Linked DNA regions of Solanum lycopersicum. The protein of the gene in region 1 interacts with the protein of each later gene in a pairwise test. Links are inferred from orthologs where the notes say so. Each region holds a gene or a part of one and is shown on either strand. Other genes may lie near its edges. The genes, in order: protein CHROMATIN REMODELING 25 and RAD51.

Region 1 (3,827 bases):
GAAAAGAGCACTAGGAATCTATGGAATGATTTTGGGAAAATGTGGTGATTGCAGTGGGAGATGGAAGTACAACAGCTTTTTGGGAGGACCACTGGATTAGTGAAAGTAGTTTGAAATTCACTTTTCCTGATCTCTACTATATAAGCTCAATCTCACAACCAGATAAACCAAGTTTGGAGTCAATAAGGGTGGAACCTTATCTTTAGGGGAGCTATGAATGATCGGGAAGTAGAAAATTTAATTACCATGATTCAACTTATAGGAAGTTTGGGTGGAAACGCAGGCAACAAGATAGACTCAGTAACAAAGGTAATATTTCAGTAAAATCAGCTTTGGTTCATGAATCATAATAGCCCCAGAGAGAGATGTGCCTATGGCGGCATGTAAGCAAACTGTGCACGGTAAGAGAAGAGGAGAGATGTTCGCAATTACTACCACAAGAAAGCGGCCCCCGAATGATGTATGGCCTAGGAAACTGATTAGGAGGACAAAACTTCCATTGAAGGTATCTTGTTTTGTCTGGTTAGTGGCGAGGTGATCATGTTTATCTCAAGCAAAGCTACAAAGACGAGGTCTTCAGATTTGTTAAAGGTGTCTAATGTGTGGTCAGTAGGGTAAAAGCAATGAGCATATTTTCTTACATTGTAAGACGACAATAAATCCGTGGCACAAGTTCTTTTGTATTTTGGGCATAAATTGGGCTATGCCTAGGTCTAGTATGGATCTTTTCGAATCATTTAATGAATGTGGGAAAGAGAAATGGAGAGGAACATTGGTGCAAGATCATCACAGCATGTATTTGGTGGATAGTAGAGGAACTAAAACATCTTTAAAATACTAGTGATTCCATTTAAAAGATTAGGAAATTGTCTTGGTTTGTTCCTTTTTTTGGTATAAGCAGTATTTATGGGGGCAAGTAGGAGATTTAGTAGATTTTATTGGTAGAAGTGTAAAGATTACAGATCTGTTAGGAGTTTTTTCCTCTTTGATTTTGCTCTATTTGATTATTGAAAGTTCTAAATTCAGTACCAGTTATGGCGTTGAGTTTATATAGATTATACAAATGTTACCTTTCTCAAATTGTTCGAGTTTATATAGTTCATATGTCAAACTAGTCAATTGATGATTGATATAATATGTTAGCAAGTTTCAGTCCTGTATATGTGTAGATAATATGGAAATCTGTCTTATTCGTCATTCAACCCAGTTTCCACATAAAATATGGGTGAGTTGGAAATATTATTCGTTTTTATCTAACCCGTTTTCAGCTCCATCTATATTAGATCTGACCTGTTCATTTGCCAGCACTACTCAAATGTCAGATGTGAAAAAAGAAAAGGGAATGGGGGAGGTGCACTTCCACACTACAGAATCTCCAAAAGTCACCATAACTGCTAAAAATACTTGAGCCATGTGAAGGTATAGGAGATTTCACATAATGCATTAGCTTAATCCCATTTAGCATGGAACATACCTACTATCATGAAATGTGAACAGGTCCCGCAGGTCTTCTGCTGAGAGACAGTTTCCCTGAAATCACATATTAGTACCAAATTAGAGCAGAAGAATGAGAAAAAATTAGAGACTCTAAAATATTACCTGGATATCAGAATCTGTTTGTTCCTGCTGAATAACTTTCTGAAGACCTTCCTTTGACATCTGACGCTGGTAAACCTGCAAATAAAAATAAATTTCTTCAATCGAACAACTAGAGAAGATAGGAACTCATTAAGCAAAGGCTTCTAGGAATCAAACCTTTTCTTCAATAGTTCCAGTACTCAAAAACCTATAGATGTAGACCCTCTTCTTTTGTCCATCTCTCCAGACTCTTGCAGCAGCCTGAGGAAGAGTTGGAAAATCTAGAAATTATATATTTGATATGCAACATATTCCGGCATCATTTGGTGATACTCAGGCGAAGATTTCACCTGTTTGTCATTGGCTGGATTCCAGTCAGGATCAAATAAAACCAAACGGTTCCCACCAATCAAATTAAGACCGCAACCTCCAGCCTTGCTGCTCAACAGAAATGCAAACTCATCCTAAAAGATGCACAAAATAAGTCTTGGTAATGCCAAAACTTAGTTAGATAAACAAGTGTAACAAAATCCCCAGGTACCTTTGCTGGATCATTGAAATGATTAACTAGCTTCTGTCTTTTACTAATTGATGTAGTTCCATCAAGTCTTAAGAAGGGATATCTCCTTTCACGGCATAATTGAGAGAAAAGGTCCAGTGTCTGATTAATCACAACTCACAGTTAGGACAGACCACAAAAGAAAGAAGGAAGAGAAAACAACAGAGAGAAATCAGTTACTTATTAATTAAGGAAGAGGAAACAAATGAGAGAATTTCAGTTATACACTAGAAAATTGAATGTTATAAGCAAATATGTAACTCTATATCACAGTGTTCACATCTTGAAAGCAGGCTGTTAACCTTCATTATCTTCTGAAATAAAAGTTACAGTCACAAACAAGTTTGTCTGGTGCTGAAGTTTTACCAGCAGATATTAGACTCAGAGTAACTAAAGGAGCTAGAGCTGAGAGATGATAGTCACATGTTCTGTTAACAATATGGAACTTAGGGGTTGTTTGGTTGGGAGTATTAGAAGAAATAGATTATTATGTATGGTATTATATAATACTATGTGTTTGGTAGGAATTTGTGTCTATGTATAACTAGGGATTAGTTATGCATCCTACATGGTATTATAGGATGTACTATAATACCTTCTTTTGGAGGTATGGGATAAGTATGTATAAAGACAAAATATTCTTCAAATTCTTTTAATTATTTTATTGATTTTATGTTTTATATTTGTACTAGTAAATTCATTTAAATAAATTAGCTTACAAATTATTAACAGAGTTGTTTGTCACTAAATAAATCCAATACAAATCAATACAATATTTGAAATGTGAGTTGTTTAACATTAACTCATTAAAAGAGGCAAATATATCACCACATGACGTTTGTAATCTTAATTGAATGTACAATTTGTTTATATATATATACACACACACACACACACAATTTGTCGATATATGTGTGTGTAGTTTCTAATTATTTGTATTTTGAAAAATTTATAAAATTGCATACATATTAAAACTATAAGTTCAATTTTTATATGTAAATTTAGATGATTTATTCAACTTTATTATTGTTTACCGTCTTTTCAATTTTAAAAGTAGATAGCTTATCTTTTTTGAATAAAAATGACACTTTGTAAGTGATCAATTTACTAAGATGACAATTATGTATTCTCAAAAAATTTAAATGGAAAAAAAGACAAACATGTCAACAAATTTTTTCTTCTCATAGCTAGTTTGAAGGCATAAAAAAATAGTATTGTTCAGCAATTATTTACCTTGACCAAATTACATAATAATTTAAGTGTATAATTGGAAAGAAACTTTCTTATAAAGTTTTAATCCAAACACAAGAGGAGATGAGAAACAATGAACCAAACACTTAGTAAAATTAAAGTTTGCATTACTAATCCCTGCATTACTAATCCGTGTTACTGATCCCTGCATCACTAATCTTTGTACAAACGACCCCTTAGAACATCAGAAATGAGGAAAACACTCGGTATATAAGATTGATGAAGATCAATGTGGCAACTGGCATGTATCTTACTTCAGGAAAACACAAGAATACTCGACTAAGAGAATGGGAAGAAGAAAGCTAGCACATCTGCAAAAAAGGAAGTGGCACTCCTAGGATTGACTAAATATGGATATTATAGTCAAACTGTGGTGATGGACTACTAAACCACTGTCAAGTGGTATTTTCCCATTCTCTTCTAACAGTATCCTGATAGA
Region 2 (4,528 bases), on another chromosome or scaffold:
TTAAAGAAATATATGGATTGCTTTGTTTTTGACTCTCTCTCTACTCTGCTATATCAACTCATTTCTTGTGCAATTTATAGCAATTCTCTGAAGAAGAAAATCACCATTTTCTCTCAATTTTTCCACTTTGTAGTTGATAATTTTGACAAAAAAAAATGGCAGGTCAAATGTATACCAACATTTGAAACATTTGACAAACTTTTTCATTTAACTTGTCTTATGCTTGTTTTTTATTTTGGTAGATATCATGCTACCTTATTTTCCAATTTTTATTTTCCATATTTGCTGGATAATTCCTTCATTTCTATCTTTCTCATTTGTTCTTCTTTCCATTTTTAGCTTGTGGGTTCTACACAAAAAAAAAAAGTCCAATTCTTTGTCATATTTGCTCAACTTCCATTCATCTCTTTCATAATTCTTTAATATTTCCATTTGTCTTAGATAATTTCTTGAAAATCAACACCTGTGTTTCTTTTGCCACATATCTACTTAGTTGATGTTTTTTTATTACATTGCAACATTTCCGCAAAGATTAAAAATATTAGTACTAAAATTAAATAATAACTTAGTATATATGATATTTTTCTCTTATCAATTAGAATGAATAAGTTTTTTATTCTTGTGTAACTTTCCACATTTCTTACATGTTGTTGGATTTGAGGCTGACTTGTCTTGATGGAAATAGATAAGTGTCATCACATTCGTTTAAAGAGGCAAAATTGAGCCTAAATTTAAAGGGGGTTCCAAGGAAATTGAGCCTAAACTAAAGGGGGCATGAACTGTAATTTATTTTGGGTGAATGGCTATTTGCTAAATTAGTTTGAGTTGGGCTATAAAATTGTAATTATTTTGAGTATTGTGGCCCATTTATGTAGTTTCTCCCTTTTTGAAAAAAATGGCATAACATAGCAACTTATAGATAAATTGGTAATAAATAAGTCAATTTTATTTATTTGGCCGAAAAAGGGTTTTTTGAATATTTATTTGGCATTAAACAATCATATTTATTTTTCTTGAAACGGGAAAGGCTAAAACATACCCCTAAACTATCGAAAATAACTCACATATACCCTTAAACTATATTCTGGCTCAAAAATATCCTTTCGTTAAAGTATTCAGTCATATTTATCTTTACTATTCACACCTCTGTTAATAGTAAGGGTAAATGTGACCCAATACTTTAAGTGGAGGGTAATTTTGAGCCAGAATATAATTTAAAGGTATATGTAATCCAATACTTTTCATGGGTATTTTTGAGCCTTTTACGTTCTTGAAAAGTGATTCTTTTCTAATTTTCTCTATATTTCTGGACACATTATTGCTTGTCAACTGTTTTTATCACCATCAAATTCATAACGGTTGCATACAAAAACATATTTTATGAAAATTATTTTCATTGACCAACCAAACATTAAAAAATGTTCTCCTTTCCAACTAACATGAGAAAATAAGTTAGAAATGCACTTATTTTCCAAGAAAACATTTTCAGAGAAAACTGTTTTTTTCATACCAAACACCTCCTAAGTATTATTTATTTATTAGTTTTATTTAAACAGCTTGTGAAGCACGATTTCATTTGCAGTATTTTTGGCGGCTCCTCACGCCTTTGAAATATTTCCTTTTGCCTCCATTCTTCCATTCTCAGTGAGCATCAAGAAAATTAGCAATGGAGCAGCAGCACAGGAATCAGAAGTCGATGCAAGACCAAAATGATGAAATCGAGGATGTTCAACACGGCCCTTTTCCAGTTGAACAACTTCAGGTTTCCCCCCTTTTCTTCTCTTAATTGAGGAGTTAATTCAATCCTTTTTATATATCAAGTGTCCTAAATCTTGGATTGGGGTAGTTGTTTTGGTGATAGTGATTGTTTATGATTTCAGATTCAGTGTAGCTGGGTCTGATCTTGAATCTTGAATTGTACTTCGTAGGTTAAATGTTGAATCTTGAAATGTGGTTCTGGGTTGAATCTTGAATGGTAAAAAACTGAATTTTGTGAAACAGCTTTTTTTCAAGGTTGAATCTCATCTGCCTCGCTTATGGGAAATGCTTTTTTTTGTTTTGGGGTTTTCTATACTGTCCCCTTTTTGGCTTCTTGGAATGGGTTCGCTATCATAGTGCTCTTGTGGATTATTTCAAGCTAATATTTTTACAGTTATATCTATCTGTCCTTTACTGCCTTAGTTTTGAAGCTAAATGTTGTAGAATGCTTTGTGAAATGGGTTCTCGAAGCGATACCACTGATCTTGAAAACCTGGATGAGTGTTTTTTTGGTATGATGTTTCGATGGAGTCATGGAGCCCTGCGACAAGCCTAAGTTTAGTATTTAAGTGGAGAATGGTAGAGGAGTGACCCATCATTCCTGAGTTCGAATGCTATTGTTGGCAATAAGGGTTGGCTCAAAACAAATTTCTAGGTCATCAATTAAAAAAAACGATGTTGCTACAATGGTTTTGCTGCCCGTAATTACAACCAGTTTTCATTAGAAATTTGTAGGTTACTATCAGAGTGTACAGAATTGAGGGCACCATGAAAAGCTGCTTCTAGAAAGGCACTTGACACAAAATGATTTACATCATGACGCATGATATGGAGGGTCCAATAGGTGGGCGTTGATGGTCAGATATTTTAGTGTGCATCTGGGTTATGCGGTTGGCTTATCAGCTTTGCTCCTTACAAGATTTTATCAGTTTAGATCTTTTTTTGAAGAATTTTAAGTCTCGAGTGATTAACATTTACAGTAACTCAGATAAGTACTTATCATAAGTTTCTCATACTGCAGATTTTAAAAAGATTTACACGAAGTGAAACCTAAACTCTTGAGGATTTTTTAATCTTACTGGTAGTACATAAAAGCTGGACTAGGCATTTCCTAGATTTTTTTCTTGGAATTGTTAATATTTAAGAGGCAATATCTTTGAGTATCTTTTTCCAGTCTAGCTTGTAGTATAGTTGTTTCTGTTGAATGACACCCTGTAATTCTTCCAACTTTTAAAGGAAATGGTCCATTAGTTACTGAGGCATATAGCTTTTTTGTCCTCAAGGCATCAGGGATTGCAGCTCTAGATGTAAAAAAACTCAAGGATGCTGGTCTATGTACAGTTGAATCTGTTGTTTATGCTCCAAGAAAGGAACTTCTGCAGATAAAAGGAATTAGTGAAGCTAAAGTTGACAAGATTATTGAGGCAGGCATGTCTCTCTTCATTTAACTGCCATTGCCAGTGCTGATGTTTTTTCCCCTTACCTTCTTTTTTCACCCATTTCTGCAATTTTTTATCAGCAATCGGTACTAAATCTTTTTAATGCTGCATATGAACAGCTTCAAAATTAGTGCCTTTGGGATTCACTAGTGCCAGCCAACTCCATGCACAGAGGCTTGAAATCATACAGATAACTTCTGGATCGAAAGAACTTGACAAGATATTAGAAGGTAGTTATTTATCTAATTTGTGAACTTCTAGAACCGGAATTTGACCTGGCATCACAACCTCATACTTTTTTTGTCACTTGTCAGGAGGAATCGAAACTGGATCTATTACTGAAATTTACGGAGAGTTCCGATGTGGAAAGACTCAGCTGTGTCACACACTATGCGTGACTTGTCAAGTACGATAACATAGACATTTTTTTAATTTTAAAATCCCATAATAAAGTGCACAAGATTCATTCAAATATCATTCTTTATCTGTTATTTCAGCTTCCATTAGATCAGGGAGGTGGTGAAGGGAAAGCAATGTACATTGATGCTGAGGGTACTTTCAGACCACAAAGACTTTTACAAATTGCAGACAGGTCTTCTACTAGTAACTCAACTCACATGTTTTTCTGGTATTATGAAGTTCAAACTGTTGTCATCAGTGGGGTTAAATGCTGCAGGTATGGATTGAATGGTCCTGATGTCCTGGAGAATGTAGCCTATGCTCGAGCTTATAATACCGATCATCAATCAAGACTTTTGCTTGAGGCAGCCTCAATGATGGTGGAGACCAGGTTAACTTTCTCCATATTCCACTGCTCATTTATGAAAAAAATTTCTCATGCTTCTCAGTGGCTGTGATACTTTGAGCAAGAAAATGTGCTTAGATTATATCTTTTAGAGAATATTCCAACTCTTGATTGAGTATGTTGAAGGGTTCTAGTTTGAAGCAGCTCTCAATTTGTTTGATTATGGATGTCCATCTTACATCTAATGCATGTTTGGATACATCTTGGATCTGTTTGAAGTGTGCTCTCACCTGTTTCAAACAAATAAATCTTTTTGAAGTGTTCTAGAATTCAAAAAAAAATTTGCTTCCTGAATATAGTGAAAATCTTGAATTTGTGGCTTCCTTAGTTATTTGGGTTCATCTCATCAAAGCATAAAAAAGATCTCTGATAGAAGCTTAACTTTGAAAACTGTTTTGATCAAGCAGGTTTGCTCTCATGATTGTGGACAGTGCTACTGCCCTTTATAGAACTGACTTCTCTGGGAGAGGAGAGTTGTCTGCCAGGCAGATGCATCTTGCAAAGTTTCTGAGAAGCCTTCAGAAGT

What was found.
Region 2: the proteins of protein CHROMATIN REMODELING 25 (region 1) and RAD51 interact in binary tests that used the Arabidopsis thaliana proteins (3 or more experiments, as listed by UniProt). The link is inferred for Solanum lycopersicum from reciprocal best matches to the Arabidopsis thaliana genes RAD54 and RAD51.

The regions. Positions count from the first base shown.
Region 1 is NC_090803.1:55,513,012-55,516,838, reverse strand, and holds part of protein CHROMATIN REMODELING 25, read right to left. Parts: intron 2,240-3,827; coding exon 2,120-2,239; intron 2,043-2,119; coding exon 1,929-2,042; intron 1,840-1,928; coding exon 1,756-1,839; intron 1,675-1,755; coding exon 1,600-1,674; intron 1,531-1,599; coding exon 1,475-1,530; intron 1-1,474. UniProt on the Arabidopsis thaliana protein: Dissociates RAD51 from nucleoprotein filaments formed on dsDNA. Could be involved in the turnover of RAD51 protein-dsDNA filaments. Addition of RAD54 overcomes inhibition of DNA strand exchange by RAD51 bound to substrate dsDNA.
Region 2 is NC_090806.1:9,799,329-9,803,856, reverse strand, and holds the start of RAD51 (DNA repair protein RAD51 homolog), read left to right. Parts: upstream 1-1,578; 5' UTR 1,579-1,666; coding exon 1,667-1,762; intron 1,763-3,041; coding exon 3,042-3,186; intron 3,187-3,316; coding exon 3,317-3,427; intron 3,428-3,511; coding exon 3,512-3,603; intron 3,604-3,694; coding exon 3,695-3,789; intron 3,790-3,873; coding exon 3,874-3,987; intron 3,988-4,409; coding exon 4,410-4,528. UniProt on the Arabidopsis thaliana protein: Binds to single and double-stranded DNA and exhibits DNA-dependent ATPase activity. Unwinds duplex DNA. Component of the meiotic recombination pathway.